Sus scrofa: one gene and its partners. The protein of the gene in region 6 interacts with the protein of the main gene of each other region in a pairwise test. Links are inferred from orthologs where the notes say so. Each region holds a gene or a part of one and is shown on either strand. Other genes may lie near its edges.

What was found.
Region 1: the proteins of VPS52 (region 6) and TEAD4 interact in binary tests that used the Homo sapiens proteins (3 or more experiments, as listed by UniProt). The two-hybrid records come from large-scale screens. The link is inferred for Sus scrofa from reciprocal best matches to the Homo sapiens genes VPS52 and TEAD4.
Region 2: the proteins of VPS52 (region 6) and NFKBIB interact in binary tests that used the Homo sapiens proteins (3 or more experiments, as listed by UniProt). The two-hybrid records come from large-scale screens. The link is inferred for Sus scrofa from reciprocal best matches to the Homo sapiens genes VPS52 and NFKBIB.
Region 3: the proteins of VPS52 (region 6) and RAB4A interact in binary tests that used the Homo sapiens proteins (3 or more experiments, as listed by UniProt). The two-hybrid records come from large-scale screens. The link is inferred for Sus scrofa from reciprocal best matches to the Homo sapiens genes VPS52 and RAB4A.
Region 4: the proteins of VPS52 (region 6) and TSTD2 interact in binary tests that used the Homo sapiens proteins (3 or more experiments, as listed by UniProt). The two-hybrid records come from large-scale screens. The link is inferred for Sus scrofa from reciprocal best matches to the Homo sapiens genes VPS52 and TSTD2.
Region 5: the proteins of VPS52 (region 6) and EPM2AIP1 interact in binary tests that used the Homo sapiens proteins (3 or more experiments, as listed by UniProt). The two-hybrid records come from large-scale screens. The link is inferred for Sus scrofa from reciprocal best matches to the Homo sapiens genes VPS52 and EPM2AIP1.
Region 7: the proteins of VPS52 (region 6) and ATP6V1D interact in binary tests that used the Homo sapiens proteins (3 or more experiments, as listed by UniProt). The two-hybrid records come from large-scale screens. The link is inferred for Sus scrofa from reciprocal best matches to the Homo sapiens genes VPS52 and ATP6V1D.

Annotation. Positions count from the first base shown.
Region 1 is NC_010447.5:67,129,727-67,133,520, forward strand, and holds the end of TEAD4 (transcriptional enhancer factor TEF-3), read right to left. Parts: intron 2,175-3,794; coding exon 2,034-2,174; intron 1,231-2,033; coding exon 1,078-1,230; intron 923-1,077; coding exon 809-922; 3' UTR 666-808; downstream 1-665. UniProt on the Homo sapiens protein: Transcription factor which plays a key role in the Hippo signaling pathway, a pathway involved in organ size control and tumor suppression by restricting proliferation and promoting apoptosis.
Region 2 is NC_010448.4:47,702,012-47,706,725, reverse strand, and holds the start of NFKBIB (NF-kappa-B inhibitor beta), read right to left. Parts: upstream 3,083-4,714; 5' UTR 2,986-3,082; coding exon 2,807-2,985; intron 1-2,806. Other genes in the region: SIRT2 (NAD-dependent protein deacetylase sirtuin-2), read left to right, coding at 3,426-3,441, 4,287-4,333. UniProt on the Homo sapiens protein: Inhibits NF-kappa-B by complexing with and trapping it in the cytoplasm.
Region 3 is NC_010456.5:60,500,737-60,504,686, reverse strand, and holds part of RAB4A (ras-related protein Rab-4A), read left to right. Parts: intron 1-303; coding exon 304-384; intron 385-3,282; coding exon 3,283-3,397; intron 3,398-3,950. UniProt on the Homo sapiens protein: The small GTPases Rab are key regulators of intracellular membrane trafficking, from the formation of transport vesicles to their fusion with membranes.
Region 4 is NC_010443.5:239,479,073-239,483,022, forward strand, and holds part of TSTD2 (thiosulfate sulfurtransferase/rhodanese-like domain-containing protein 2), read right to left. Parts: intron 2,579-3,950; coding exon 2,458-2,578; intron 1-2,457.
Region 5 is NC_010455.5:21,876,525-21,881,061, forward strand, and holds the start of EPM2AIP1 (EPM2A-interacting protein 1), read left to right. Parts: upstream 1-1,338; 5' UTR 1,339-1,621; coding exon 1,622-3,448; 3' UTR 3,449-4,243; intron 4,244-4,537.
Region 6 is NC_010449.5:29,636,325-29,640,944, forward strand, and holds the start of VPS52 (vacuolar protein sorting-associated protein 52 homolog), read right to left. Parts: upstream 2,845-4,620; 5' UTR 2,557-2,844; coding exon of another isoform or gene 2,554-2,556; 5' UTR 2,122-2,553; coding exon 2,032-2,121; exon of another isoform or gene 1,973-2,031; intron 1,252-1,972; coding exon 1,167-1,251; intron 1,014-1,166; coding exon 961-1,013; intron 790-960; coding exon 714-789; intron 5-713; coding exon 1-4. Other genes in the region: RPS18 (40S ribosomal protein S18), read left to right, coding at 2,554-2,556, 3,008-3,106. UniProt on the Homo sapiens protein: Acts as a component of the GARP complex that is involved in retrograde transport from early and late endosomes to the trans-Golgi network (TGN).
Region 7 is NC_010449.5:91,081,785-91,086,397, forward strand, and holds the start of ATP6V1D (V-type proton ATPase subunit D), read right to left. Parts: upstream 3,125-4,613; 5' UTR 2,911-3,124; coding exon 2,870-2,910; intron 1-2,869. UniProt on the Homo sapiens protein: Subunit of the V1 complex of vacuolar(H+)-ATPase (V-ATPase), a multisubunit enzyme composed of a peripheral complex (V1) that hydrolyzes ATP and a membrane integral complex (V0) that translocates protons.

The DNA of each region.
Region 1 (3,794 bases), on a different chromosome or scaffold from region 6:
AGGGTCCACCACAGACCTCTGACCAACTTTCTCGGTCTTTACCACCAAAGAGGATGCCAAGCAATCCCAACTTCAGAAAGCTGGCTTCAGCACTGGACCCCCACCCTTGCTGTCTCGGGCTCCTCTGACCCGGGACCCATCCCCCTGACAGCAAGCATGGCCACGGACGAAAAGTACTTCAAGGACCCTGTGTCCCCTTCCAACCTCCCAACAACTCAATCTCCCTCACACCTGAAACCCACCCCAGGGCTGGCCCAGGCTTCCCTGTTAGCTGCTCTGGTGCAGAGGCAGCAGAGGTGGCAGGAGGTGGGAGGGTGGCGGGGAGCGGGGGAGAGCAGACACATCACTCCTAGGTGGCTGCAGTGCCCACATAGGAGGGAGGACCCACACCCTCCTCAGGCCTCGCAGCATGGCTGCAGCAGAGGGCAGAGATGCCCATGCACCACAGGGACCATCGGATCTTGAACTTCAGCATCTGGTGACACTCCTGGCTGAGTCCGCTGGGGCCTCGGCTTCAGAACTGCACGAGAGGCACCCCTGGGGCTGCTTCCAGCCTGCTCCCCAGGAAGCCCCCTTCTCCCTCGGTCCCTCCCAAGGCTCACACAGCCAGATCAGTTCCTCTGAAAATACACAGATCTTGGGTTTATTTGGGATTAGGCACTGCAGGTTCAGGCACGGTTTGTTCCTGGGTAGAAGAGTCGTGACTTCAACTCTCTTGGCACTTCGGGGGGGGGGCTGCCCCCATAGGTCCCCTCCCCACGTCCCGGCACACACGATGTCTCGTCCCCCCTCCCTGCTCCCTGGTCTCTTATTCCTTCACCAGCCGGTAGATATGATGCTGAGCCCCATGCTCGCTGGCTGACACCTCGAAGACATACGCGACGCACAGCAGGGTCTCCTGTGTGTCTCTGTTGGTGACCACCTGCAGGGGTGAGGAGAGGAGGGGGTCTGGGCCCCAGGAGACGGCATGCCCTCTGCTCTGCCCACTGCTCACTTCTGCCCCACTCGACACATCTGCGCCCCGCCCCCGCCTGCCCACACATACACTTGCACGCGTGCGCACACACACACACACACCTGCAGGATGGTGAAGTTCTCCAGCACGCTGTTCATCATGTACTTCTCGGGCAGGTGCTTCAGCTTGTGGATGAAGTTGACCATGTACTCACACAGCGGGGACCGGTGGATGCGGTAGGAGTAATGGCCGTTCTCATAGCGCGCGTACTCGGTCTGCAGGACCCAGGGACAGCGCAGCTTAGGAGGTCTCTGCCCACCTCCAGCCAGACCCAGCTCCAAGAGGAAGCTCCATAACCCACTCGTAGTAGAAGGAGAGGCCTCTCAGGAGGCCCTTGAGAACAGAGAGCCCTCCCCCCAGTGACCCAGCAGCTGGGTGTTAGAAGAAGGAGCTTAAAGACACAGAGGGGCGAATGGCCAGACGGGACAGAATGATGCCCCAACTCTGGTTGCACATGGGGACAGGGCCACAGGGACCCTTGCGCCCACAGAACCGTCACATATGTGTACCTATCCATTGGCATGCATGCCTGGGGATGCGCGCGCGCGCGCACACACACACACACACACACACAAACATGTGCACACCAGTGAGTGTGTGTAAATGGAGGAAATCTGAATCAGGCTGGTGGATTGCATCACTGTCTCCTGCCAGGCGGTTCTTGTTACACTCTAGGTATGTAGGATGCTGCCACTGGGGAACTAGGGAAGGGATGACAATTGCCTGTAGATCCACAATTATCTCGAAATAAAAATGTCATTAGAACAACGTGAAGGGCTTTTCAGAGTCGCTGCTGCCCAGACTCCACCCTAAGGTTCCGCGCTGTGGGCGGGGCTCGGCGCAGGTGTGTTGGGAAGGCTCCCCACTGGGATGGGGGTGCCCAGCCTCCCATGGGTTGATGCGAGGGGGGTTATCGCAAGCTGAGGGGTGAAGGTAAGACTTCATGAACTCAGTGTGGGGAAAGAGGTGAGCAGCGGCCGAAGCCCAGGCTGCAGGGGTGTGGGCGGCGTGGCCCTACCTCCACTTTCTCCACCACCTGCTTGCCGAAGGAGCAGACCTTGGTGGAGCAGGTGATGATCATGTTCTCGGGGCTCTCGTACTGGCTGGAGACGCCGTAGAAGGAGCTGCCCTCGTCCTCAATGTTGGTGTTGAGGTCTGCCTGGAGGGAGACAAGGGGAAAGCAAGAAGGGGATTCAGAGGGGCCCTGCTCGGGGCAGCGTCAAGGAGGCCTCTGGGGCCACAGCCCAGGTCCCAGGGCCAGGACTCACTCAGGAGGCTTGGAAAGAACCTGGCCGAAGGGTGTGTGAAAGCCTCCATTCTGTCCGCAGCAGGACTGGTATGAAGTCAGGTCCTGTGGCCCAAACAAAGGCAAAGGGCTCCCCTGCATTAGCCTCCGGCCCCTGCTGCCTGCCAGGTACCAACAGCCCAGTAGGCGGGGCCCCAAACTGGTCTTCAGGACCCTGCCAGTGCCCTTTAAGCAATGGCTTTGGGGGCTGGCCTCTTGCTCTCTCTGTGCACTGTGAGTCCGGCCACCCCTGACCTTCTGCACCTCTGTTCCACCTCCAGGCCAATCTCCCCAACGCCAGCCTCCTTCTGTTTGGCTCTTCCTCTCACTAGTCCGAGAGGTCTGGTTAGCACCTGCTCACAGAGCCCCTTTGCCACAGGGGCACCCACCTTCCCAGCCTGGCAAGACAGTTGGGTGCCTTGGTGATGTTGAGGCAGGAATTTCATTTATTTTCTTTTTTTTTCTTTTAAGGGCCGTACCTGCGGCATATGGAGGTTCCCAGGCTAGGGGTCTAAATCGGAGCTACAGCTGCCACAGCAATGCCAGACCAAAGCCGCGTCTGTGATCTACACCACAGCTCACAGCAACGCCGGATACTTAACCCACTGAGCGAGGCCAGGGATCGAACCTGCAACCTCATGGCTCCTAGTCAGATTCGTCAACCACTGCACCACGACGGGAACTCCAGGAATTTTATTTCTGAAGGCTTCAACCACAGAAGGGTCCTCACCCCCAGAACCCATTTGAGTCAGGGAGCTAAGAGAGGAACTTCAGACTCAGAAATGTGCCAAAAGATTACCAGAAGTTCCTTCTTAGGCAGAGCCTCCCTCCCACACACACACTAGTGGGAAGTCGCTGCCAAGCAGGACCCAGAGGGCAGCCCCACAAATGCAGGGGGGCTGCCAGACTTTGATAAAGACTCTGACACGGAGACCTCTCTTGCAAAAGGGGAACCCCAGAACCCGGGGAAGTTTCCAGCAGATGCAGAGCCGGGCCCCGGACTGTTCCATCCCTGTCCATTAGGGAACGTCAAAGCCATTACTTTTCTCTCCTTTGGGGAGAAAAGGTTTCCAAGAGCAAGAACACTTTCTTTCTTTTTTTTTTTTTTTTTTGTCTTTTTTTTTGCTATTTCTTGGGCCGCTCCTGCAGCATGTGGAGATTCCCAGGCTAGGGGTCCAATCGAAGCTGTAGCCACCGGCCTACGCCAGAGCCAGAGCAACGCAGGATCCGAGCCGCGTCTGCAGCCTACACCACAGCTCACGGCAACGCCAGATCATTAACCCACTGAGCAAGGGCAGGGACCGAACCCGCAACCTCATGGTTCCTAGTCGGATTCGTTAACCACTGCGCCACGAAGGAACTTCCAAGAACACTTTCTAGACTAGCAGGGGCTCAAAAGTCTTAAGCACAATAGAGATAATACATCGCACACGCCACGATGAGAGGGATCTGTTGTTACTCTTGTGAACTGACTACAACATAACGTTGAGTGGA
Region 2 (4,714 bases), on a different chromosome or scaffold from region 6:
TGATGTATAAATAAATGGGTATGGCTGGATTCCAACAGCTTACTTTATGGAGTCTGAAATTTGAATTTCATATAATTTTCACTTGCCACGAAATGCTTTTCTTCTTTTGATTTTTTTCTAACCATTTGAAAATGTAAAAACTATTCTTAGCTCACAGCCATGCAAAAGCAGGTAGCTGGCTGGACTTTGTCTGGAAACCAGTTTGCCAACTATTGGTCTTTCAGAGCAACCACGAAAATAAAAAACAAAGAGTTAGAGCTAATAAGCCAACAAAAGAAACACAATGGAACAAAATTTGCTCATTCTAAAAGGCAGAAAAAGAGGAAAAAGGTAAAAGAGATAAGCAAAAAAGCTAAAAACAAGATAAACATAACCATTTCAATAATTAAGTTAAATGCAAACAGTCTAAACACTGCAATTAAAAGACAGAAACTGTCAGAATGAATAAAAAAGTAAACCTCGAGTTCTCTTGTGGTGCAGCAGATTCAGGATCCAGCACTGTCATTGTGCCACACTGCTGTGGCTCGAGTTGAGTTGCTGGCTCGGGAACTTCCACAGGCACAGCCAAAAAAAAAAAAAAAAAAGCAAAACCCACTATATGCTGCCTGTAACACTCTTGAAATATAAATTTTAAAATAGGTTAAAATTAAAGGGTATAAAAAGATATTCCATGGTAACACCAGTCATTCAAAAGAAAACAGAAGTAAGTATTTTAATATCAGAGTAGATTTCAGAGCAAGAAGCATTACCAGGGCTAGAGAAGGTTATTTCATAACGACAAAGAGGTCAGTGAAACAAGAGGACTTAATAATCCTAAATATTTGTGCCCCTAATAATAGAGCATCAAATTACACAAAGCAAAATCTGATAGCACAACAAGGAAAGCCACGAATCCACAATTATTGTTGAAGATTTCAATACCCGGCTCTCAATAATTGACAGAACAAGTAGAAATCTAGACTTGAGCAACAAAAGAACCAGGGAAACACTGACACTCGGAGAACACTACACCCAACCAGAGCAGAATACACATTCTTTCAAATGCACACATTATATTCTTGGCCCTAAAACAAGTCTCAAAAAGTCTGAAAGGATTCAAGTCATGCTAGGCTCTCCATCCCCAACAGAATTAAACTAAAAGCCAATGAAAGAAAGATGCCTGTGATATGGAAACTGAATAACATACTTCTGAAGAATCCGATGACCAAAGAAGAAATCAAAAAAGAAATTAGAAAGTATATTGCATTAAATAAAAACACTACACATCATGGAATTCCTGTTGTGACTCAGTGGTTAACGAACACAACCAGTATCCATGAGGATGTGGTCAATCCCTGGCCCGGATCACTGGGTTAAAGATCTGGCACTGCCATAAGCTGTGGTCTAAGTCGCACATAGGGCTCAGATCCCACATTGCGGTGGCTGCGGTGTAGGCCGGCAGCTGCATCTTCGATTTGACCCCAGCCTGGGAACTTCCGTATGTCGCAGGTAGGCCTTAAAAGCAAAACAAAACAAAATGACAAAAAACGACACAGCACATCAGAATTGGTGAGATACTGCTAAAGCACTACTCCGGGAAATTTACAGCATGAATCACTTATATGCGTAAAAAAAAAAAAAAAAAAGAGTCTCAAATCAATGACCTCAGCTTCCATCTTAAAAAACGAGAAAAAGAAGAAATTAAACCCCAAATAAGAGAAGAAAGTAAATAAGTCAGAACAGAGATCAACAAAATAGAAAGCAAAAAGAGAGAAAAAGAGAAAATAAATGAAACCACAGCTGGTTGTTTGAGAAGATCACTGTTTCCTGAGTGCCTCCTATGGGTCAGGGGCTGCTGGGTCACTGGGGATACAGCGGTAAACACGATACTCAAAAACCCCAGGTACATTCCCTCAATTGGGCCTTTACAACTGTTTTTCCCTCTATGTGCAATGTTCTCCCCAGATAATCTACTTGTCTCACTTCCCTGCTTTATTTTTCTCCAAAGAACTTCTTAACGTCTGACATGCTATTTTTCTTTTTTTTTTTAATTTTTGTCTTCGTTTCTTCCTGCCTTTCTTCTTTCTCTCCCTTTCTTACTTTAGGTCTGTGTATCTTTTTTTCTCTTTCCTTCTCTCTCCTTTTCTTTCCTTTTTCTTCCTCCTACCCTTCCTCCCTCCCTGTCAGTCTATCTGCCCTTCTGTCTATATACCCCCACTAGAATGTATGCTCCACAAGACAAATGTTTTTTGGGCTTTCCTCCCTGCCTTTAGGCCACACCTAAAACAGTTCCTGGAAAGTCGAAGGTGTTGGATTATTTGTTTAATAGATGAATTCCTGCTGTTATGTAGTTTCCATTTTCTCTTTGAATGTAAGCTTTGAAGATCAGAGTTCAGAAGGTGGGATCCTGGAGTCAAAAGCCAAGTATTAATTTCGAAATAAAATCTAAGGCTCATGTAAGTTAGGCGCTGAGGACCAAAGATCATATTTGGAGGATAAAGGTCAGGAGGAGCCTGTCTGAACTACAGTTCTAACAGAGGGCTAAGGACTGGGGTCAGGAAGGTCAAATCGAGTTTTGGATGTGGAATCGATCACTGAATGTGGGTCTGATCAATGAACGCATAACTCTGAGAATCAGTTCAAGAAAGGAAGGCCAGACATTATTGGGTTAGGATCAAAATTAGATAAGAAGTTGGTTTTATCAGAGGCCAGTCTTGGGGTCAGGAAGTCAAGCATCAAAAGACAGATTTAGGATTGAAAGGTTGGGAAGTCAGGATTGGAGATGTGGGACCCTGGGGCCCGATTTGTCAGTCTAAGGTTCACTCACGTGTCGCCATCCTCAGTGACGTAGCCGAAGACGAGGGGCGCCCACGATAGTCCCGGACCCAGCTCCGCGCCTAGGCCTGGTCCTCCGGGGGCCGCTGCGTCCGGACCCAGAGAGCCCAAGCCGCTGTCGCACCATTCATCGGTGTCCGCAGCTTTCCCCAAGCACGCAACCCCAGCCATGGCCCCCGAAGCCTCAGGGGCCCCCAGCGGCAGCCCGCCTGTCGCTGGGCTCTGCCTGGAATTCTCGAGCTTCCGCCCTGCGGGGAATTCCCCAACACGCCCCCCTGACTCATCCAATCAGGGTGGGCTAAGTAGTACACGCCCCGCCCCCATGCCACATGATGACCAATCAGAGCACTCAGGTGGACTACGGCGTTCTACCTTTTCCCACACTTTCCCGGAGTCCTTTACCAGCATGGCTGTGGACGTGGAGCCCTCTGGGACTCGTAGTCCGGCCTTTGCGTGGGGGCGCGCTCCGTACGCGGTGCAGAGCATTATATGCGATCGCGATGGCTGCTGGGAGTTGTAGTTCTCTGCCTTGTCTCGGCCCCCTCCTGTTTCCGGTGCCGTCACGGGACAGAGCAGTCGGTGACAGTCCCGAGGGCCCCCGCCCCGCGCCCATGGCCGAGCCGGATCGTGAGTCGGGGACCCCGGTGGGAGGGCAGGGCTGCACCGGGGCCTAGCTGAGGGTCGTAGGCCCCGGGGCCCGAGGGCAGGCTTGGTGGGGCAGGAGATGGGGGTTGCATGGGGGGGAAAATGGGATTCCGGGGGCAGTTGCCAAGTGATCCATATTGCTAGATTGGTGGCTTTCTGGGTCGCTAGGTTTTAAGGGTCCGTTTGCCACTTCCCCCAAGTTACTAATGATCACATGTTTCTCGCACCTTAGTTGCCAAGGACCCTCGTTGCTAGGGACTTAAGATGCCGCGGTCCTGGTTGCTAAGGGTACCTGGTTGTTAGTAGCAACTGTAGGATGCCAGGGTCCCCTCCTATTGCTTCCTTTTTCTCCGAAACCAACCCCACCCTGCCCGACACACACACACACACACACCACACACACACACACACTCTGCACCTCTTCTCCCAAACCTGCCAACAGGCAGAGTATGTCTTCTCTCCTTTCTATGGCTTCCCACTGCTTGTAAACCTAATGACACACACTCTCACACTACTACACCCTTCCTAACTCCTCCTAAGTCTTCCTCCATGCCGGGCGTGCTTTACTTTCTCTTCCCTCGCCTAAACCTTCCTGTCCCGGCCTCTTTGTCCCTCGCTAACCTCTCCTCCCAGCCGTCTGCACACTGATAAGGTCCGCTTTTCCCCATTGCCGCCCTCCTCCACTTCCATTTTACACCCCCACCCCACCCGGTATGACCAGGTTGGTGAGTTTTCTTGATCCCTCTGCCCCACTAATTTGAAGCCCTTCCTTCCCCCTTAACCACTCCCTTCACCTTAACCACGTCTGCTCCCCCTCCTCCCCCCAGCCTCAGACCCTGTGGAGACCCAGACAGGGAAGGTGCAAGAGGCTCAGGTGAGATGGGGCGGAAGGGTGGCGGGAAGGAGAGAGATGGACTTCCCACACCCCATCCTGGGAGGGAGGTGGCAGAGGGGAGATGGGAACCCCAGGGCCCTGAGCTCCCTGCCCCAGTCCCTCCCCCCACCTCCTGGTTCAGCCTCCCGGGGAATGGTGGATTCTGGGGACTGTCAGAGGAGGGCGTGCAGCCTCAGCCCCCGGCCTGCCCTTCCAAACCTTCCTCTCTCCTTGCCACCCCCCACCCCATCCCTTCTGAACCTCTTTTGCACTGCGCATGGAAGAGATCTCAGAGCCAAGTGTAGGGTGACAAGGAAAGCAGCTCAGGGCACCTTGGGAGCCCAGAGTAAACTTCGTGGAGTCCCACAGATTCCAGCCAGT
Region 3 (3,950 bases), on a different chromosome or scaffold from region 6:
ATGCATATTTATTTGAAAAGCAAAGAGACAGACTTTAGACATCACCAGAGTAGTTTTCAAACTTTTAGTATCAAAAGAAATTGTCCCCTTAGCAGTTTGAAAAGGCACTGGCTCAGCATGGAAACCAAATGCTGAAAAGGTAAAAAGGTAAGTCCGTGTGTTTATTGCCTTTTTCACAAAATCTTGTTACCTCTTTTTTTCTGTTATATTAACAACCAAGATTTCATTAAATGTTACAGTTGTAGACTACGTTCACAGCACCTGTTTTAAAGTTCTTTTTCATGGTCTCTTTTTGTTTTTCAGATTTTTTGTTTAAATTCTTGGTTATTGGAAATGCAGGAACTGGCAAGTCTTGCTTGCTTCATCAGTTTATTGAGAAAAAATGTAAGTGATGTCACATGGTGTTCTCAATTTCTTCTGAGAGTGCTTCTGCTCAAATTTGTTGACAGCAAAACTTCCAAATAAGTTTTCAGGAAAAAAAGTTTGTGGCTTAAAAATATTTTTAAATGACGTTAAAAGTTCATGCTATTAAACTTCTAGTAATGTGGTTTTTATTTAGCATTTTAGTTTTATAGTAGTTCATTGTTCATTATGTAGTGAATTGTCCTGTACATTTTCTAGATACTAAGATACAATATGATGATGTGGAAAACAGCAGAGGAATTCCATTTCCTGACAGGAGGTGGCCCAAGAACCCTAGTTGCACATTTTGGATAAATAACATTTGGTCCTCAGTGGCCTTGTACTGTCATTAAGGCAGTATTGTCATCAGTTCAGTTTTACAGGTAAAGAAACAGAGGTTTAGAGGAGTTAGTGTGCATGCTCTAGAGTGGTCACCTAGTAATTGCTTAGAAATAAACCTGGGCCTTTGAGCACAGAAAATATCTCTTGTCCTTGACCTACATGTTTTGGTAAGGGAGGTTGAATTCTGTATTCCAGGCTACTGTAAAAGATGGTATGATTGTAAGGCCCTCAAAATAATGCTTTATACTGATGGAAAGAATTGTGGAGAATGGCCTGTTTGGTAGCGGTAGGGGTAGGCAGGTGAGAGCCTGAAAACAGAATTAATTTAATTTAATGAAGTGCATAAGATACAGTAAGTAGTGGGTAAAATGGGGAAAGAGGCAGCACAGAGTGTCTTGGGAAAGAGCTTTGAAGAACCGTAGTCTAGAAATGTATCCTTCTGCCTCCACATTCATCAACCCAGAGCTCAAACCCCTGTGTGGGACAGGAACCCAGTGTGGCTTGTCAGGGAGCCAGGCCTTATGAATTTAACCAGCATCCATTTACTGGGCGGTCAAGCTTCTTTACAAGTTACCAGGCTTTGCACTGTTCTGTCTCAGAAAAGACTGCTCAGGAACATCAGGTCAGGGGCCCAGCCTCTGTGGAGAAGGCTCCCCCCCGCCGCCCCCCCCAGATCCTCCCTAACTCCACAGGACCACAGTCAGGAGGAAATAGGTTTCACTTTATTTCTGTTGTAGCCATGTCTTAATCAGGATGTCCTTGGCCTTTAGGGTCACCCTCTGAAGGCTTGCCCAGGAGCTGAATCCTAGCCAGGTATCCACACTCAGTCTGCACTGTCTGGGCTGAGACAGCTGCCAGTGCCAGTACTAATAACCTTTCACCCTCTCATCCCCAGGAAGCAGTAAACACTGCTGTTAAGAAGCATCTCTGATTTCTGGTACAATTAAATTTTATCCTATGGTTATAAAATATAAACCAGTCAATGAACTGTAGAGCCATGAAATGTATTTTTAACTTATCCTTCCAACATCTCAGAAATTTTCTTTTATAGCTAGCTTATTCCAGTTGGGTGGAGCAGACTACTTATTTTGCCTGCCTCCCTGCCCATTCACAAAGTATTGATTTCTCCAACAAATTTCATTCCAAATTATCACCCTACAATACTAAAATTCATGACAACTCAACAGCTATAATATGATAGAGTTTTTGGTTTGGAGTTTGTTTTGGATTTTTTTTTTTTCTTTTCCTTTTTAGGACCGCACCCGAGGCATAGGGAAGTTCCAGGTCACAGGTCTCATCAGAGCTGTAGCTTCTGGCCTACACCACAGCCACAGCATTGCCAGATCCGAGCCACATCTGCAACCTACACCACAGCTCACGGCAACGCGAGATCCTTAACCCACTGAACAAGGCCAGGGATTGAACCTGCAACCTCATGGTTCCTAGGCGGATTCATTTCTGCTGCGCCACAACGGGAACTCCAGATTTTTTTTTAACTCTATTTTTTCCCCGATTTTCCTTCACCTTTTGTGTCCATCAAGCTTCTTTCTTGGGCTACAGTGCTTTTCCCTCCCTTTGCTTTTATTTGTTTAGAATATTTATCCAGGAGTTCCCGTCGTGGCGCAGTGGTTGGCGAATTCGACTAGGAACCATGAGGTTGTGGGTTCGGTCCCTGCCCTTGCTCAGTGGGTTAACGATCTGGCGTTGCCGTGAGCTGTGGTGTGGGTTGCAGACGCGGCTCGGATCCCGCGTTGCTGTGGCTCTGGCGTGGCCGGTGGCTGCAGCTCCGGTTCGACCCCTGGCCTGGGGGCCTCCATGTGCCGTGGAGCGGCCCAAGAAATAGCAACAACCAAAAGACAAAAGAAAAAAAAAAATAGAATATTTATCCAAATAGTTGAAACTATCATTGGCAAAGTTGTAGAACTGTCACCAGGTGGTAAGCCCTTCAAGATGGCACCCTGTATTTTATTCATTTACCACTTATGAGAACCTTAGCAGTGTCCGGTAGGTACCATCTCATGGTGTGGTTCCCCTTCAAGCCTCAGTTTTAAAACATAATGGTCGTGGAGTTCTCATCGTGGCTCAGTAGAAACCAATCTGACTAGTATCTATGAGGACGCGGTTTGATTCCTGGCCTCATTCAGTGGGTTGAGGATCCAGCATCGCCATGAGCTGTGGTGTAGGTCTCAGACTCCGCTGGGATCTGGCATTGCTGTGACTGGCGTAGGCCAGCAGCTGCGGCTCTGTTTCAACCCCTAGCCTGGGAACCTCCATATGCTGCAGGTGTGGCCCTAAAAAGACCAAAAAAAATGGATTGTTTAGAGGTTTTGAGAAAAAGTTGTATTGTGTCTTTGAGAATAGGAACTGTGTGTGTTCGTTTAAAACAATGAGTGCTTATTATCATCTGACTGTTGGAAAATGAATGATAAAGAAAATTGCATTTTCCATTGACTTAATTATTGATTTTAATGTTACTTCTCTAAATCTATAAACCTGTTTCCTTAACATTCTAAACTTAAATTTCTTTTTCTTTTTCAGTCAAAGATGACTCAAATCATACAATAGGAGTGGAATTTGGTTCAAAGATAATAAATGTTGGTGGTAAATATGTAAAGTTACAGATATGGGACACAGCAGGCCAAGAACGATTCAGGTAGCTTTTTCTCTAACATAATAAAAATATTTGAAAATTGGATTTGAAATAACTATATTCTTAATACATAATTGTTCCCTCCTCCCCCACACAGATTTCAGAAACCTCACCTCTGGAAGCTTTAAGACAAGCTAAAAGTCAGGTTTTTCTCCATGCAGCAGTAATTTACAAAAGAATTAGAAACTCTTCTGAGTAAATGCATCCTAATTTAGAAGCTGACTTACTCTCTGGGACCAGTGAGTTCCTTAGGAGAGTGTGGCATTGTGTATTCCACAATCAAGACAAAGTAGGAGCACAAATAATTTTTCTCTTAAATCACTTTAGAAGGAGAATGTGTTTTTTTGTTTGCTTTGTTTTGTTTTGTTTTTGTCTTTTGCCTTTTCTAGGGCCGTTTCCCATGGCATATGGAGGTTCCCAGGCTAGGGGTTGAATCGGAGCTGTAGCCACTGGCCTACATCAGAGCCACAGCAACGCCAGATCCGAGCCACATCTGTGACCTACACCACAGCTCACAGCAAGGCCGGATCCTTAACCCACTGAGCAAGGTCAACGA
Region 4 (3,950 bases), on a different chromosome or scaffold from region 6:
CTATCTCTGACAGGGGCAAATATGATGACGAGGTACATGCTTCTGTGTAACTGTCATTTGGGTAGGCCAGAAGAGTCTTCCCTATGTTATTTTAATCACAGAACCTAAATAAATGACAAGTACACCCACTCCCTAAACAGCTGGGTTAGAGCAGTTATTCATGCACTAGACTTTCGATTTCTGTTGAATGATTCTTCAACTGAAACCTTCTAAGCTGCTAGGTGAGGAAGGCCTTTACCTCAGATGAAGTGCAATAGTTAGGGTACTGAACACCTAATATGAGACAGCAGCTTCATATTATAACCCTGAAAAGTAGCTATCATAACTCCCATTTGACAGAAAAGGAAACAGAAGCTAAGAGAAATCAAGTACCTTGCCCAAGGGCACATTGTTCGCAGGTGGTAGATCTGGGATTCAAAACCAGATCTTATTGGGTCCAAATCTTGCAATTTTTCCTTTCCAAAACTTCTAATGCGGCCTCTCAAATTTCTTGAGGCAGTAAGAAATGTATAGCAAAGGGATCAGAAGCTTATCTCCATAATTTCAGAGTTTTGAAGTTCTCCTCTTTCCCTACCTAAATGCAGATGTTCTGCCAAATCTCCCATCAACACAAAACTTGAAAATTTGCCATGTATTGCCAAAGGCTTAGAATTTAGACCTAAGATCCAGGCAGGTGCTGCCACCTTGTGGCAGAGGCCCTCACTGCCAGTTTACCTCCTGGGCTGGGCCAGGAATAAAACCTGCCCCAAACCAAGGAAAGAGATTGATTTCCTATTTTGTAAACTTAAGTCTACTGCGAGAATATACATCTTTTAAGGTGTTCTCTAAATAGAGATGATAATAAATGCATATATGCCACAAGTGTTTACTCATCTTTTTTATAATGCACCAGGAACCATGCTATGAATTGGGGATATCTTCTGCCCTTTTGGAGATTATAGACTAAGGAAGGTCACAGATAAGATTAAAGTCACAAACCGACAAGTGTTACATGAAAAATAACTAAACTGCAGTGGAAGGGTATATTTGGAAAAGTGAATTTAGATTACGGGTCAGGAAAGATGTCTTTGAAGAAGTGTCATTAAAACTGAGAACTGAAGGAGTTCCCGTCGTGGCGCAGTGGTTAACGAGTCCAACTAGGAACCATGAGGTTGCGGGTTTGATCCCTGGCCTTGCTCAGTGGGTTAAGGATCCAGTGTTGCTGTGAGCTGTGGTGTAGGCTGCAGACGCGGCTTTGGATCCCACATTGCTGTGGCTCTGGCGTGGGCCGGTGACTACAGCTCCAATTCGACCCCAGCCTGGGAACCTGCATATGCCGCAGGAAGCGGCTCTAGAAAAGGCAAAAAGACAAAAAAAAAAAAAATTGAGACCTGAAGATTGAGTAAAAGTTAGGAAGAATCAAGTGGGTGTGGGGGAGTTAACTGAAGAAAATTTTCTTGTAAAAAGGCCCAAAGGCACAAAAAAACCTTTGTGGACTCCCAAGAAATTGAAGGAATGTTTTGCTGGAGTGTAATGAGTAAAGAGTGGTAGCAGATAAGCGGAAAAGGTAAAGGGGCCAAATCACACGGGAACCTAAGGGAACGTTAAGGATCTGGGTTTTACTCTAAATGCACTGGACAGCCATGGAAAGACTAGGAAAAAAATATTCACGAGGGAAAAAAAAAAGAACAAATGTCAAAAAACACAAAATGATAACATCTGCCATGTTCTAGGAAAATTGAGAAGCAACTTGAAATCACATCTGTATGTATAGTTCTATAAAATGTTTTTCCAGTCAATATATCAAGAACATTTCCCCATGCAAGGGGTTGGCAAATTATGCCTTTTTTATACAGTTTGACTGGAACATGGTCATACCCATTCTATTATATATTGTCTATGGTTGTCTTCCTGTCATGATGCCAAGGTTGAGTAGTTTTTATGCGAAGCCTGAAGTATTTATTATATGGGTCTTTAAGAAAAAGTTTTCTGGGAGTTCCCTTCGTGGCTCAGTGGTTAACAAACCCGACTAATATCCATGAGGACATGGGGTCTTGTTCAGTGGGTTAAGGACCCAGCGTTGCCGTGAGCTGTGGTGTGTAGGTTGCAGCTGTGGCTTGGACCCCGCATTTCTGTGGCTATGGTGTAGGCCATCGGCTACAGCTCCAATTTGATTCCTAGCCTGGGAACCTCCATATGCTGTGGGAGCAGCCCTAAAAAGACAAAAAAAAAATAAATAAAAATAAAAATAAAAAATTTTTAAAAAAAGGAAAAAGTTTGCTGATTTCTGGTCTATGCCATTAAGTAGTCTTATACAACACCATGTTAATCGCTAATTAGTATTAGACTTAAATGCCTAGCAGGATTGCGCTAATTTCAAGACCCCAACAATCAATCTTTTTTGTAACAAGCCCAACCTCTGTAATCCAAATTGGAGGCAGGATGAGCCAATGAAGGACGGGGTGTGGGAGGTGTTACCTTGCCAGTGAGGTGCAGATGCTGACACAGAGCTGTCTGCCAGGCACAGATCCAGGCAGGATCCTCCAGGTCACAGTAGCAGTAATAAAGCAGCACCTCCCCGTCATCGCTGTCCTGGCCACTACAAAGAAAACCACAGGGAAAGAGCACTTGAGTCACTGGCACAGGAAACCACAATTCACAGAGCGCACACAGGCAGAATCGGAAGGAAGGCCTAATGGAGCAACTCATGCTTGCCTTTGTTTCTCTCATTCTTGTCCTAAAATGAGAAGCAATGTCTATGGGTATCTGCTCTAAAGAAGGCAATATCTGCATTGAACTTCTTCCTTTATGAGAAGTGAATTTACTTTGGTTTCCTCATTTAATTGTCATGTCATGAGAGAGGTACTAATAATGCTCTTTCACAAGACAGCTGGAAATTTGACTTCATTCTGTCTGAATCTCTCTATACACAAAAAAGTTTTACTTCTTCCAAAAATAAGTTTCTCTTCCATTTTGGTCATGTAATCCTCTTACCCATGAGACAGGTTATCATCCTCCCCATTTTAGAGCTGAGTAAACTGAGCCCAGTTCATCCCAGGCGAGACAGTTACAAAGTGACAGTCAGGACTCGAAACACCAGTCTGCTGACACTAGAAGAACTGCTCTCTCTACTGCTCTGTGCTGACTTTAACTAGTCATGGAAGCTGGGTGGGGGTCTTATCTCTGAGTCCTGAGTTCCTCATCTGTAAAACTGGAAGACTGAAATAAACTGCATTTGTGTGCTCTGAAGCTGTCCTGTGAAATCACATGACTGAGAAATCCTGTGGACAGTGTCTCCCTCTTTGAGAGTGGCAGTGAAAGCCCCTCAGCCAGTAAAAGCGCCAGGCAGTCCTGCAGTAAGAACATTTTAACCTAGTGCTTCCCAAATTTAATTGTCTTCAGTACCTCTCTCCAACACCTGATAGCATCCTTCAGAGCACATGCTCTGCAGACCTATTTGAGAGAATGATATGACAGATGGTAATTAAGGTCCTGTCCCACTCTGGAGTCTGTGCCTCCCTCATCGTTGCCCTCTTCATGCTTCAGGGCCTAGTCTCCTCTGAAACCTGCCTGTCTATTTTAGGGCCTTCTATTTTCCTTTCTCTAAATTCTTGTAATGAACTACTATCTGAGCCATACAATTTTAAACGATAATTATACGGTCTTTAACCATCTGCTAAATGTTTCATGTATCCTTTTTTTTTGTTTTTCTAACTAAAAGGCAGGGCCATACAGAAATGAATGAAGAGATCACGTTTATAGCACTTTCCAGTTCACGAGGGCTCTTATCATTTTGTATAATTCATAAAGCAATTCTGTCAGGTAGGCAGAGCAGGCATTATTATTCCAGTTTTAGAGGCGAGGATGTAAAGGTACAAAGAATTTTAGTGATTAGCTCAGGTCTGACTCCAAGTTCAATTCTCTTTCTAACCTTCTCTTCTTTCTGATAAACAAAGGGAACTGGCATTAAC
Region 5 (4,537 bases), on a different chromosome or scaffold from region 6:
TTGCTCAGTGGGTTAACGATCCCGGTATTGCCGTGAGCTATGTTGTAAGTCGAAGACGCCCCTCGGATCCTGCGTTGCTGTGGCTCTGGCACGTAGGCCGGCAGCTACAGCTCCCATTAGACCCCTAGCCTGGGAATCTCCATATGCCCTGGGAGCGGCCCAAGAAATGGCAAAAATAAAATAAAATAAATAAAATAAAATAAATAAAATAAAAAAATAAAATTAAATAAAATAAAATAAATAAATAAAATAAAGTAAAATAAAATAAAATAAAATAAAAAATAAAATAAAATAAATAAAGTAAAAAAAATAAAATAAAATAAATAAAATTAAAAAATAAAATAAAATAAAATAAAATTCAGGAGTTCCCATCGTGGCTCAGGGGTTGACGAAACCGACTAGGAGCCATGAGGTTGCGGGTTCCATCCCTGGCCTTGCTCAGTGGGTTAAGGATCTGGTGTTGTTGTGAGCAGACGCGTCTGCTACCTACCTGTGGTGTAGGTAGCAGACGCGGCTCAGATCCCGCGTTGCTGTGGCTCTGGCGTAGGCCGGCAGCTACAGCTCCGATTGGACCCCAAGCCTGGGAACCTCCATATGCCGCGGGAGCGGCCCGAGAAGAAAAAAAAAATTAAAAAGGAATTGTACTTCTGAATGTATACAGAATAAGCAAGAAACTGACGCCCTCTGAAGGATGAAGAGAGGGGTGTTTTTTCTTCTTAAATGTAAAAAGCTTTTTAAACGTTTAAAAAGTTGCATCTTCTGCACATATAATTTTAGAATTTCTCTTAGTTGATGGCACCATTAAAACAATACTGTATCGCCCTCTCTTTGTGCCCCCATCAACCCTAAAGTCTCGAAGGGACGCTCGAGGACCCGGGAGAGAGGAAGGCAGGACCCCGGCCTCCCCGCGGCGGCGGCGCGCGGCACACCCCTCCACTCAGGGCAGAGAGGCGTGTCCGCGCCATCCTGAGCAGTGGCCCGTTAGGTTCTAAGGAAGCCTGGACTCCTCCCTTCGTACCAGTTCTCAATCATCTCCTTAATGGCATTAGCCGGCCGCTGGATAACCTCCCCTGCCGCGATGCGGTTCACCACTGTCTCGTCCAACCGCCGGATAACTCCCGGTACCTGCGACATTTTGGCGCCAGAGCAGGCCGTGTAACGGTGAGACGCTCACTGGAAGGGCTTTCAGCCAATCTCCTTAGAGCTTCGCACCCACATCCTTCCAGCAACACTGCTGACGCCGTCCCGTCCCGCCCTCTAGCGGCAACACCACTTCCGGGACAGAGAGGTACTGATTGGGCATCTTGAATGCCAGTCAAGTTCTTAGCTCCATGATTCCTGTTCTCTTAGCCCTCCTTAGGCGGCTTTAGTGCACTTTGCAGCGAGAAGGATATGCGCCTGCGCGCTAAAAATCAGTGTCCGCTCTTCCTATTGGCTCATGCTTGCGGCAGGGGAATACGAAATCTCCAGCCAATAGGAATCAAGGTGCCGGAACCCCAGTGGTTTCCCCAGCTGGGGTGATCTGGCGCAGAGCGGAGTTGGCGCTTGGGGATCGCTCCTGCTCCTCCCCTCTCCTTGCGGCCTCCGGGAGGTCGGCCCAGATCCAGTGGTCTCCCGTGAGATGTGGATGACGCCCAAGAGGAGCAAAATGGAAATCGAGGAGCCTCGGGGTTTCCAGGCCGAGTGGACTCAGCGTTACCTGGTTGTGGAGCCTCCGGAAGGCGAAGGCGCCCTGTGCCTGGTCTGTCGCCGCCTGGTCGTAGCCAATGGCGAACCCGATGTCAGGCACCACTACGAGGCGGAGCACGATTACTACGAGCGGTATGTGGCGGAGGGCGAGCGCGCGGCCCTGGTGGAGCGTCTGCGTCAGGGCGACTTGCCCGATGCCGCCCCGCTCACCCCGGAGGAGAGAGCTGCTCGTGCAGGCCTCGGGCTCACCCGCCTCTTGGCCTTGAAGGGTCGCGGCTGGGGTGAGGGGGACTTCGTGTACCGGTGCATGGAGGTGATGCTCAGAGATGTGCTGCCTGATCACGTAGGCGTTATGGATGGCATTGATTTATCTCCGGAGATCACGCAGCAGAGGGTCCTAGACATTAACCAGAATCTACGCAGTCAGCTTTTTAACCGAGCCAAGGACTTTAAGGCCTATTCCCTTGCGTTGGACGACCAGGCTTTTGTGGCCTATGAGAACTACCTCCTCGTCTTTGTCCGCGGCGTGGGCCACGATTTAGAGGTGCAGGAAGAGCTTCTGACCATCATCAACCTGACTCAGCACTTCAGTGTTGGTGCCCTCATGGCGGCAATCCTTGAGGCCCTGCAAACTGCAGGGCTTAGCCTGCAGCGGATGGTTGGACTGACCACGACCCACACTCTGAGGATGATTGGTGAGAACTCAGGGCTGGTGTCATACATGAGAGAAAAGGCTGTAAGCCCCAACTGTTGGAATGTTATCCATTATTCGGGGTTTCTTCACTTGGAACTGTTGAGCTCCTACGATGTGGATGTTAATCAGATCATAAATGCCATATCTGAATGGATAGTTTTGATTAAGACCAGAGGCGTTAGGCGGCCAGAATTTCAGGCTTTACTAACTGAATCGGAATCAGAGCATGGTGAAAGGGTTAATGGACGCTGTCTGAACAATTGGCTTAGAAGAGGGAAGACCTTAAAACTAATATTTTCTTTAAGAAAAGAGATAAAAACATTTTTGGTTTCAATAGGGGCAACAACGGTCCATTTCACAGACAAGCAGTGGCTTTGTGACTTTGGCTTTTTGGTGGATATTATGGACCACCTTCGAGAACTCAGCGAACTATTGAGAGTAAGTAAAGTCTTTGCTGCTGCTGCCTTTGACCATATTTGTACCTTTGAAGTTAAGCTGAATTTACTTCAGAGACATATCGAGGAAAAAAATCTAACACACTTTGCCGCCTTGAGAGAAGTTGTTGATGAGCTTAAAGAGCATCTTCAAGAAGATGAAAAAATACTTGATCCTGAAAGGTATCAAGTAGTGATCTGTCGCCTACAAAAAGAATTTGAGAGACATTTCAAGGACCTCAAGTTCATTAAAAAGGACTTAGAGCTTTTTGCAAATCCATTTAGCTTTAAAGCTGAATATGCACCTATTTCAGTAAGGGTGGAGCTAACAAAACTTCAGGCAAATACTAATCTTTGGAACGAATACAGAACCAAAGACTTGGGGCAATTCTATGCCGGACTGTCTGCTGAATCTTACCCAATTATCAAAGGGGTTGCCTGTAAGGTAGCATCCTTGTTTGATAGTAGCAAGATTTGTGAAAAGGCTTTTTCATATTTGACTCGAAACCAGCACACCTTGAGCCACCCATTGACAGACGAACACCTCCACGCCCTGTTTCGGATTGCCACCACTGAAATAGAGCCTCAATGGGATGATCTTGTGAGAGGAAGAAATGAATCGAATCCATAAGCTTTTGTAGTACAACACCGAAACACTCAACAAGAATCCAACTCTAAAAGCAAAAATATGTTTGATTTTCAACTTTACTAATTTGGATTGTGGGAGAGTACCATGTTTTTTCACCCAAAGTGAAAAAACTTTCATCGCAGACATTTTTCACAATTCAAATGCTTCAGACAATTTTTTTTTCCTCTTTTCAAGAGGCAGCATGAGACTGAAACATGCAGATACCTTTTTTCAAAACTTGGTGGCAGAGTCATTATCTTTTGCTTTTATGATATAATTGTTTTTTAAAAAGTTCAGTATTAATCATGTGAGTTGAATTAGGAGTCTGTTTTTAAGACGTTTCAAAGAAACTTTAGCTCTTATTTTAACAAAGCGTTGAGATTCTGATGCGTATAGTCTGAAATTATCAACTCCTTAAATGTATGTTTGAGCCAGTTTGCAGAAACTCACATTAACAAGTGCAGAAGTTTCTGAAAAGGAAGAACGTACATACAGAGGAGGTATTTTGTCTAACTATCAAAATGTTTGAGACTATTTTTTTAGACACATTTCTGAGTCTGAAGTAAATACAGACATATTTTCTCCCTCTCACTCCCCCACCTGCCCTAGTGATAATGATATTACTCATAGAGGAAATAATCAATTAAAATTTTAGTCAGAGGAGCAAGAATTATTTTTAAATTGTTGGTTCAGGAAACTTCCTGAAGTTTGGAGATCAGACTAACCATTTATTGGAGGTTTTCCCTGATTTTTCACAATTGGGTGCTGTTTTATGAGCTTGCCTACTAAAGGACTACGGTAAGTATAAACTTAGGGGTTGCCCATTAGTAATTCTTTTTTCTACTCTAGACAGACTTTTGCCCCATCAGAAAGGATGAGGAAAAAAAGATGTTTGCATTCCAGTATTAGGAGGTGTGAGATATTTTAGCTTATTTGGCCTATCTACATTGGTGTTTCAGCTTTATAAGGAAATAAGAAATCTTGCTTAAAGGAAACCCTGTATTTTAAAGTTATAGAATATCAAATTTTATTTGCTGCTAGAAGTGGATTTATTATAGAATGTGACACAGTCCCACACATTGTGTATCTAAG
Region 6 (4,620 bases):
ATATCTGACCACAAAAGTCAAGGCCTTACTGTGCAGATAGAGCTCCTTGGACCAGCAGGACCTCTCCTTCTCTCTTAGCTGATGGAGGGCAGCTGTGGCGGGGCTGTCAGCACCATGCCCCACAAAATACTCCTTTTTTTTTTCTTCTTTTTTAGGGCCGCACCCACAGCATATGGAAGTTCCCAGGCTAGGGGTAGAGTCGGAGCTACAGCTGCCGGCCACAGCCACAGAAACACCAGATCCAAATTGCATTTTCGACCTAGGCCACAGCTCACAGCAACACTGGATCCTTTTTTTTTTTTTTTTTTTTTTTGGTCTTTTTGCTACTTCTTTGGGCCGCTTCCGCAGCATATGGAGGTTCCCAGGTTAGGGGTCTAATCGGAGCTGTAGCCGCTGGCCTACGCCAGAGCCACAGCAATGCGGGATCCAAGCCGCATCTGCAACCTACACCACAGCCCATGGCAACGCTGGATCGTTAACCCACTGAGCAAGGGCAGGGACCAAACCCGCAACCTCATGGTTCCTAGTCAGATTCGTTAACCACTGCGCCACAACGGGAACTCCAACACTGGATCCTTAACCCACTAAACGAGGCCAGGGAGTGAACCCGAATCTTCAAGGACACTATGTTAGGTCCTTAACCCACTGAGCCACAATGGGAACTCCCAAACGCCCGTTTTAGTAACACCACCCTTCCCTCTGCCAGAGGATACAATCACGAATGGATTTCTGCTCAATCTGCTGTAGCTCCAGTTCAACCTGCTTTGAATAGTGACGGAGATCCACACCCTGGAAGAGCATAAACACGATGGGTTGGGGGGGGCAGTCAGAGAAGGGACACTGCAACAAAGTCAACAAAGGATTTGGGGAGAAGACATTAAGATATTACACGAAGAGACTGTTTTCTTCTTTGAGGGGAGGGTGAGTGGAGGGGCAGATTAGGAGAGCAGAAAACCTCACCGTTTTAAGAGCTTCCTTTACTAACTCATCCTCCAGATTTGCCTGAATGTGAACTGGAAAGAGAAGTTTATCATAAGGGTCCAAAGGGCTCCACAGCGCCCGCTACCCACATCCGAACATCTGCACACCAATTCCTGCCTTATTACCTCCAGCCCCCATGCCTCTTAAGATGACAGGCACTGCGGCCACCTCGTGCCATCACTTACCATCAACTTCATCCAGGATGAATTCATCAGAGGTGAGGTCCAACTCTCCAAGTTGCAGTGGCTCCTGGAGACCTGGACCACCCCCCTGGAGAGGGGCAGGTTAATGGGAAAGGGAGGGGGAGAACAAAATATAATGGGGAGAGAGGACTTTCACTGGGAAACCAGAGAGAAATGCTGAGTCCAAAAAATTCCAAAATCTCATATTGTCCCAATCTACTCATTGGGGCTGATGGGTAGGGAATATGACAAGGAGCCAGCAAACCCACAGAGGTGACCAAATGAGGAAAATTAGGAGATGCAGGGACAGAGCAGAACTTGCAGTTGAACTTAGGGTCTCCAGACTCCTTCTATCTTAGATGTTCTGTTACAATCCCCGTGGGGAGCTCCAGCCTTTCTAGAAATGTCAGTTAACACAGTGTTCACCATCGTGCCAGGTGTCATCCTACATTCACCTAATCCTAACCGACAACCTCTACAGTAAGTCTTATTTTTTCACTTTATAAGTGTTAAGAGTGATGACACAGAGAGGCTAGTTAACTTGCCCAAACACACACAGCATAAGTGGCTGAGCTGGAATTAGAACCGAGGCAGTCTGGCCATGTTCCTAGCATTTACTCTACACCGCTTCTCTATCCTGCGCAAATATCTGGAGTTTAACTGAAACTGTGGCCCCAGAACCTAAGTATCAGCCATTCTAGTCCCCACTTTGGTCCAGGTCCGATCCGGGGAGGGGTATGGAGAGCCAGACCAGGCAGCATCACCGGTAGCAGCCGAGCTCCCAACCTTGCGCGAAACCCAGCCCAGACCTTTCTGACGTGAGAAGACCGGACGAGACTCTGGAGGAGAAACAGCCCTGCGTCCTCACCAGTGGGCCCTCCTCCTCCTCCATATCTGAGGCCCCGGACCGCAACACCAGCTCCCGGGCGGCTGCCGCCATGGTAGCAGCGGCAGCCATTCCGCGCAGCCCCACTTCCGGCAGCTGTCGGGCAGGTCCGTTCCCCTGAGTGGAACTGCAAGTTCTGGGGCGTGATGCACGAAACCGTTCCCAGATATTTGAGTTAAACAGACTGCCTCTAGCTCTCCCCTTTTCTCTAAGCTCTTCGCCCAAGTCCAAATGGAAACTGAAAGTCTTAAAAAGAGAATCTCAACCCGGAACTCTCGTGGCTCTCACGCGCAAAAACTTTACGATCTGTAAAGAGAGACGGCACCGGAAGTTGTGGCGCGCAGTTCTGACTCAGAGGCCTAGCCGGCTCAGGTACAAGGAGTTTCCGGAAGCGCTTCGCCAAGGTCGCTCCGCCTCTTCCGCCTGGAAGCTATATAAGAATGTCACGTCACTTCCGCTCTCTCTTCCACTGGAGGCCTACACGCCGCCGCCCGCGCTGCAGCCATGGTAAGAGTTGGGTTCGTTCGGGTATCTGGCGACATCGGAGCCGGGACAGGGAAGGCTTGCTGTCAGAGCGCCGAAAATGTCCTGGCCTGGGGGCTCGCAGCGTTTTGTGTGGAGCCTTGGGCCTCATTCCTGGAGAAGGACGACAAAGCACCCAGTTCTAGGCAGCGGGGCCCGAGGATGAGCGCTCCCCGGGCTCTGGGAAGGCTTGGGAGCGCGTGGGCCCTCCGTCCCGCCGCTTGGGAGCGGGCAGGAGGCGTTCTCCTCCGGAGATGGCGTTCTCCGATCCTGGACGCTTCCTGTTGTGCTGTCGGCAGGACCAGGGAGTCGTGTTGTGTCGTGAAGACCTGACGGGGGCTCTTTGCACCTTGCGTGACAAGCTTCACGCTCGTGTTTGGGGTTAACGGTTTGGCGGGAATTAGCGAAGTCTGACATCTCCCCCCATCTCTATCAGTCTCTAGTAATCCCTGAGAAGTTCCAGCACATTTTGCGAGTACTCAACACCAACATCGATGGGCGGCGGAAAATTGCCTTTGCTATCACTGCGATTAAGGTAAAGGAGCTGGGGGTGTGAAGGAAACTTGGGTAAACACCTGAGGTGTAAGCGAAAGTCTCAACCGTGTCACCTGGGCTGCTGGGTAAAAACAATGGTCAGGGTCCATCTAAGCCCTTGCCACATTTGCCGCAAAAGGTAAGTGGTAAAAGCCAAAGAACCGTCTTAGGTGAAGCAAAGTTGTTTTCACCTAGGGGTTGGGGAAAGGCTTTGGTTGTCTGCCAGCATTTGTTCACTAAACCGGCCTGGACCATCAGCAGTCAACTTATAAGGTCCCTGCTATATAGGTTTTTGCTCCTCCTAGTGCATCATAAGAGCAATTCTTGTGAAATGTGTATGTCCTGGAAATGGGATAATGGTACACTCTGAAGGGAGAGTAGAAAGGCCAAGAGATTCCAAGCATGAAGAAACCAGGAAATGGGGGGGGGGTCACTATTTCATAACAAGGTCAGTGAGCACAGGCTTAACTAACATAAAAAAATGACCTTACCAGTATGTTTATGTTATGTGGTGCCAGGGCTAAGCCTTTCTTGCTCACAATCCCCAAAGGACACCACAGTAAGTATTTTATAGATAGGTTGTTAATTTAAAATGGTGAATCACAAGCTTTGCTTTATAAGAGCCATCATGTTTACTTTGAATTCTTTTCATTCTGTAATTCAGGGTGCACAACTTTCGGTCTTAAGTGGTGCATGAGGAGACTGCTTCCTTCTATTGTGAAACTAGTAAGGCGGTGCACAGTAGAGGCTTATTTTATTGCACTTTACAGATAACCTCTTTTTTGTGGCAACCCTGTCTTGAGCAAATCATTTTTCCAACAGCATTTGTTCACTTGGTGTCTTCTGTCACATTTTGGTGATTCTCACAATATTTCAGACATTTTCATTGTTATATTTGTTACAGCGATCCATTGTCATTGACTTTTGTTACTATTGCACAAAGGCTCAGATGATGGTTAGCACTTTTTAATAAAGTATCTTTTCATTAAGGCATGTATGTATGTTTTTTTAACGTTAAGACTATTGCTCACTTAATAACCTACATAACTTACATGCACTGGGAAAACAAACAGATTTTGTGTAGCTCCCTTTATTGCAACATTCACTTTTCCGAGTGGTGTAGAACTGAGCCCTGAGTATCTCCACACGTTGGTTGTCTGTTCCCTTTTTAGGGGTTGTTAGGAGGCTTAAGTAAGTGAAAATAAAAGATTAGCATCATTCATTAATAGGCTGCTTCTGTTAAACCCTTTCTGCCTCCTTAACTGGTATTTACTTTAATTATGCAGCCTAACCTTTGTAGTTGCTGAAAACAGTTGAACCAAAGTTTCTGGTGCTTAATGAGTTTTTTGATAATCTCTTAAGGATCCTGAGGCTCTGCTTATCACTGGGAGGTATTGGGGTTTTGCTAATTGTACGGAGAGCCAGCTTTTGCTCTCTTCCTCTGGTGAAAACTGAAGCTTGGAGGTATTTTAAGGATCTAAAGAAGGGGGGAAATACTTGGAAACTGAAAATCTA
Region 7 (4,613 bases), about 61 Mb from region 6:
AGGCTCAAACTAAGGCTCAAAACTAGGTCCAATGTACCCCAACCATGTGCCATACTGTTTCATTTCTTGATTATAAATCATTTCAGTTGAACAGTTCTCTTTGAAATACTATCAGTGGTTGAATGTGCACTGATTAGCCTCACTGGAGATGTAACTGAGTGAGGCTGGTTCCAGCCTGAGCAGGAGGTTTGCACCCGAATGTGTACACTTAACATACTATGTTGTTGACACTATTAGAATTTGGGCTCAAAGAGCTGAATCAAATTTAAGCCAAAAAAAAAAAAAAAGAATTCTGACTTTGCTTGATTTTAGAAAAGTATAATGCATTTACTATGTTCTATAATAATAACCCTGAGGGGCCTGGTTACACCCTATAATCAAACATATTAACATTTCTGCAGTAAAACTTAAGAATATTTACACTATGAGGGATAAATAAAGATTTTTCAGTTCAGGACAAAAAAAAATTTAAGTCAAATCCAAGTACTGCAGACTGCAGTAAGTTTATAGTAAAAAGGTGAATTGGTTGATTAAAACTGAGTTTAACATGCCAATTTAAATTTACTCCTAAGCAGTGGCATCTCTGTGAAATAAACAAATTTTAATTTTTGAGCCTCAAGGGTGACTTGCCCAAGGGCTTATAGCCAGTATGTACTAGAACCTGAATATGACTGACCTCTGTTGACTTCACTACCTTCATGCCTCTTTTGCTTCCACTCTAAACTTGTTTTGCTCTCTCTGGTGCCTAACTAGACAACAGCCTCATTTCAACCTCATTTCAAAGGATAACACCATAAGGTGGAAGTGTCTCAAACAGATGTTCCTAGTGTGTTTTCTACCCTAGCTCTTAAAAAAACCTGTTCTGTTACAAGCTCCAGAGCTGCTTGGCTTTACAAAAAATGTTTGACCTTCAGCTAGGATGATGACTTTGTTTCCAGCTGAATCAAAGACATCTGACTACATGACAAAATACTTGCTGATATGCCTTGGGGAAAATATTTACAGAGAAGCATTTATTTCCTCCACCTGATCTTCCTCTCAATCGGGAAGCTGAATCCTCTCAAAGAGCAATTTTCACCTTCACAAACTTATTATTTTTCTTGTCTAAGCCCAAAGAAGTGTATTTGCCTCTTAATCTCCAAAACAAACAAAAAAGTTAACATTCTGATAACTATCAAAGATTAAAAACAGCCAGTCATTAAAGTGGTAAAAACACATGTTTTCAGTAACCACTGACAGGAGGGGAAAGAGCTGAGCTCCATTCCAATTTGTGCACAGGTGATTAAGCATTTTAAAATGACTGAGAGTGGAGGCAAACAGAAGTGATGATCAGGCCAACTGTGTCTGCTAGCAGGTAATTAAGGGAGGGCGCTCAAGGGCATATCCTCAGGTGTGGGACAAAACAAAGAGCAAATTCTCCTGGCTGTGGCTGCAATGAGTTTTCTCAGGCAGGCATTATACTGGGAGCCAGAGTCATCCTGGGAACAGAGCTTAGGCTGCTAGAAGCCACAATAGTTTGGTGGTCTCTCCGTGCAGAGGTTTGGACTGAATCAGTCCTTAACTGCTGAGCGTTCTGCCATCCTCAGTAACCCCAGGGTAGTCCTGATCATTAACTATTTCACAGGCATTACCTTTCTCCATAACTGAATTGCGTCCATCTAGGACAAACAGCTATTGAAAAGTCAGGTAAAGGTAAAAACCAAACAAAACCCCCTTCATTTTATTAAAAGCTGTAGCCACCCAGGCAGAGACAGAAAACTAGGTTTAGGGTTTAAAAACAACTCTTATTTAAGAGTCCTCAGATTCTCTGAGAAAAAATTCAGAATGAAGAAAAACAAAAGGTCCCCCAAAGAGAGGACCACAGTCAAAACATCTCTCAGAACCAAAACTGACTTTCTGCTCCTTAGAGAAAGAAAAAAAAAAAAAAAAAAAGAAGAAGAAGGGGAGGAGAAAGGGGAGAAGACGACAAATAAGAACAATTATTACTTTCCACATGTTCTTAGGCACATTTAAGAAAATTTCAAAATTTTCTTTACAGACTGGCCAAACACCTAGAGTGCTATGCTATTTCTCCAGCCAAAGAATTCAGGCAATGAAGCCCACGACTGACCAAATTCCAAAATATGGGTTCATTCAGGCACCATTTTTTTAATGGACTTTCTATGGATTAATAAAAGAGATCTCATCCTGGAGAGGGCTTGTAGTTCAGTGGTAAATACACATAAAACAATATCCACTTTACAACGTGATGGGTGATATTAACACAGGCCTGAATGAGATGCAATGGTGACAGAGCAAAAGGAGTGCCTTAGAAATTCTGGGATAGCTTCCCACCTCAGGCGACAAACATTTCAAGGGAAAAGGAGCAAGGGGATCCACTATCGAACCTAACGTCCACGTTACGGTGATTGGATTCAACCCCCAATTTGGCTTAGAAGCCTGCTTCCCATCGTAGTAAACTTCCTTTTTCAAAGCATTATCGGCAAACCTCCTCGGCTTGTCTGTCTTTAGCTCTCTTAAGGCACAAGTGACGAAAACTCATAGGTACGTAAGGATAGTGCCCGGCTCAATAAAGGAATGTGGGGTGAAAAGCTCAATTAATGAGTAAAGTCAATGAGCCTTCATAAAATCCAGCAGGCCGGGCGCCTGTTCCACCGGCTGGGCTCGTTCTGCCCAGTCCGGTTCAAACAGAGGAATGTGTGCGGGCCCGCCAAAGAGCTTCGCCCTGGACTCACGAAGTGTCTGAGGAGAGCTCAGAGTCGGCCAAGGAAACAAGGTGCCTCGCTGCTGGTCCAGGGTGTGAACGGACAGCGGCTCCGGGCCGGTGTTCCTGAACCCGTAAGTGTGTTCGTTCCATTCTTTTACTTACATTCGCGAGGGAAAGATTTCAATTCGGTCTTTGCCCGACATTCTGACGGCGACCGTGCGGCTCCGGTCCCAGGCCAGGCAAGTGCTGCAGCCACAGAGTCCTTCTCTACCGGAGTCAGCTGGTTGTGTCACGTGACGCCCTTCGCGTTGCTAAGAGGCAGCCGGAGTGTCTCTTCTTCACTTCCGCTTTCTCTTGGCACAGGAGTGCAGGAAGGCCGGGACAGGAAGAAGGCGATGCCCGGATGTTGAGGCGCGCGCACCCCGGAACCGCCCCTCGATTCCGGTACGCTGCCGAGCCCCTCCCCCTCCAGCTCCCAGGCGGCTGCGCAAGGCTCTACACCCAAGAGACGAAAGACCGAGAGAGAAGAGTACACCCCTTCTCCTCCTCCACATTCACCTCTGGTCACAGCGCCACCTCATGGTTGACTGACAGTATCGTAGAGAATTTATTCTTTAGGGACAAGGAATCCGAGTCTTACTTCTTATCTGCGCCTTGAAAGTCACTTAGCGAAAACTAAAGATGGCGAGAAAATGTACTTTTCAAGTCCTCCTAAGGCCCACAGACCTCTTTGTTCGCGGAGGACCTAGACTCTATGGTAGGTGATGAAGAGCGGTCTGTAGTCTGTCGGCGCTTGCGTGCTGCGAGGTGGTTCCGCATGCGCGGTAGGGTTGAGAGAAGCGCACGCTGAAGAGAGTCGGCGGCTGCTGCGGGTGGATCAAGTCAGTTCTCTCTGATTGAAGAGCGCGGCGCGGGGCCCCAGTGCGGGATCCATATACATACCTCAGGTGACTAGTCTCCCCGATCAGTTTCTCGAAGAATTTACTTTGGTTGTGTCCAATGGCATGGGTGTTCGGTAGAGGGTAGGCCCTGGGTTAACACCTCCTTTTCCCGTCCCTGAGCGGGAAGTGCCTGGACGCGACTGCGGTCGCCACCGGCCGGGTGTCGGTCTCTCCGAGCGGTGGTGTCAAGGTACGAACGAAGGAATCTCGTGAAGGGAAGTGGGCCCAGTGATTGTACAGCGTCTTCAATATACATAAAACAGGGGTGCCTTGAGGTGGGGCCGTCTCGGGAGAACGCTATGACACCCCCGCCCCACGACGCTGAGCATTTTGCTCTCTCCGGGCCTGAGAATTCCATCTTTTTCGTCCGCCCCAGCAAATACTACCTCTCAGTGGAAACCAGACCGGCCGCTTCAAGGAACCGGTGGTTTGGGCCATGATGTTGACAGAGTTGGGTTTAAAAGTATCCAAGAATAATTTGTTCCTCTGATAACTTATATTTAAAAATTGAAGCTCCTATCACTTTATCGCTCGGTGCATTTCTGTAGACTGAGTCACCCCTTCAGTTGAAACTAAAAGATACTGTTGAAGAGTTTATATATAACTCTTAGTATCGGTTTACCGTGTTTCAGCATCGATGAAAGTAAACTTGTAGAATTACACGCTGTGATCTTTCGGTTAAGCATAACTAAAAAAACATAAAGATAAGGGAATTTTATTACCCCCCCAAACTTAGACTACTTTAAGTTTTATTTAACAAGAAACATTGTTTCGTGGAGGAAAGGTTTAGCAAGAAGTCTTGGTTTTTCTCCCGTTTGATGTTATTATTCAAGGGAAAAAATCTTGTAACTCTGTGTCTTTCAGCAGTTTGGAATTATGTAGAGCTTTACTGTCTGTTCTCAGTTCATCTGATGCCAAATAACAAGTCACTGATCCTCAAAAGATCTCAAAAAGATGCATAGTAA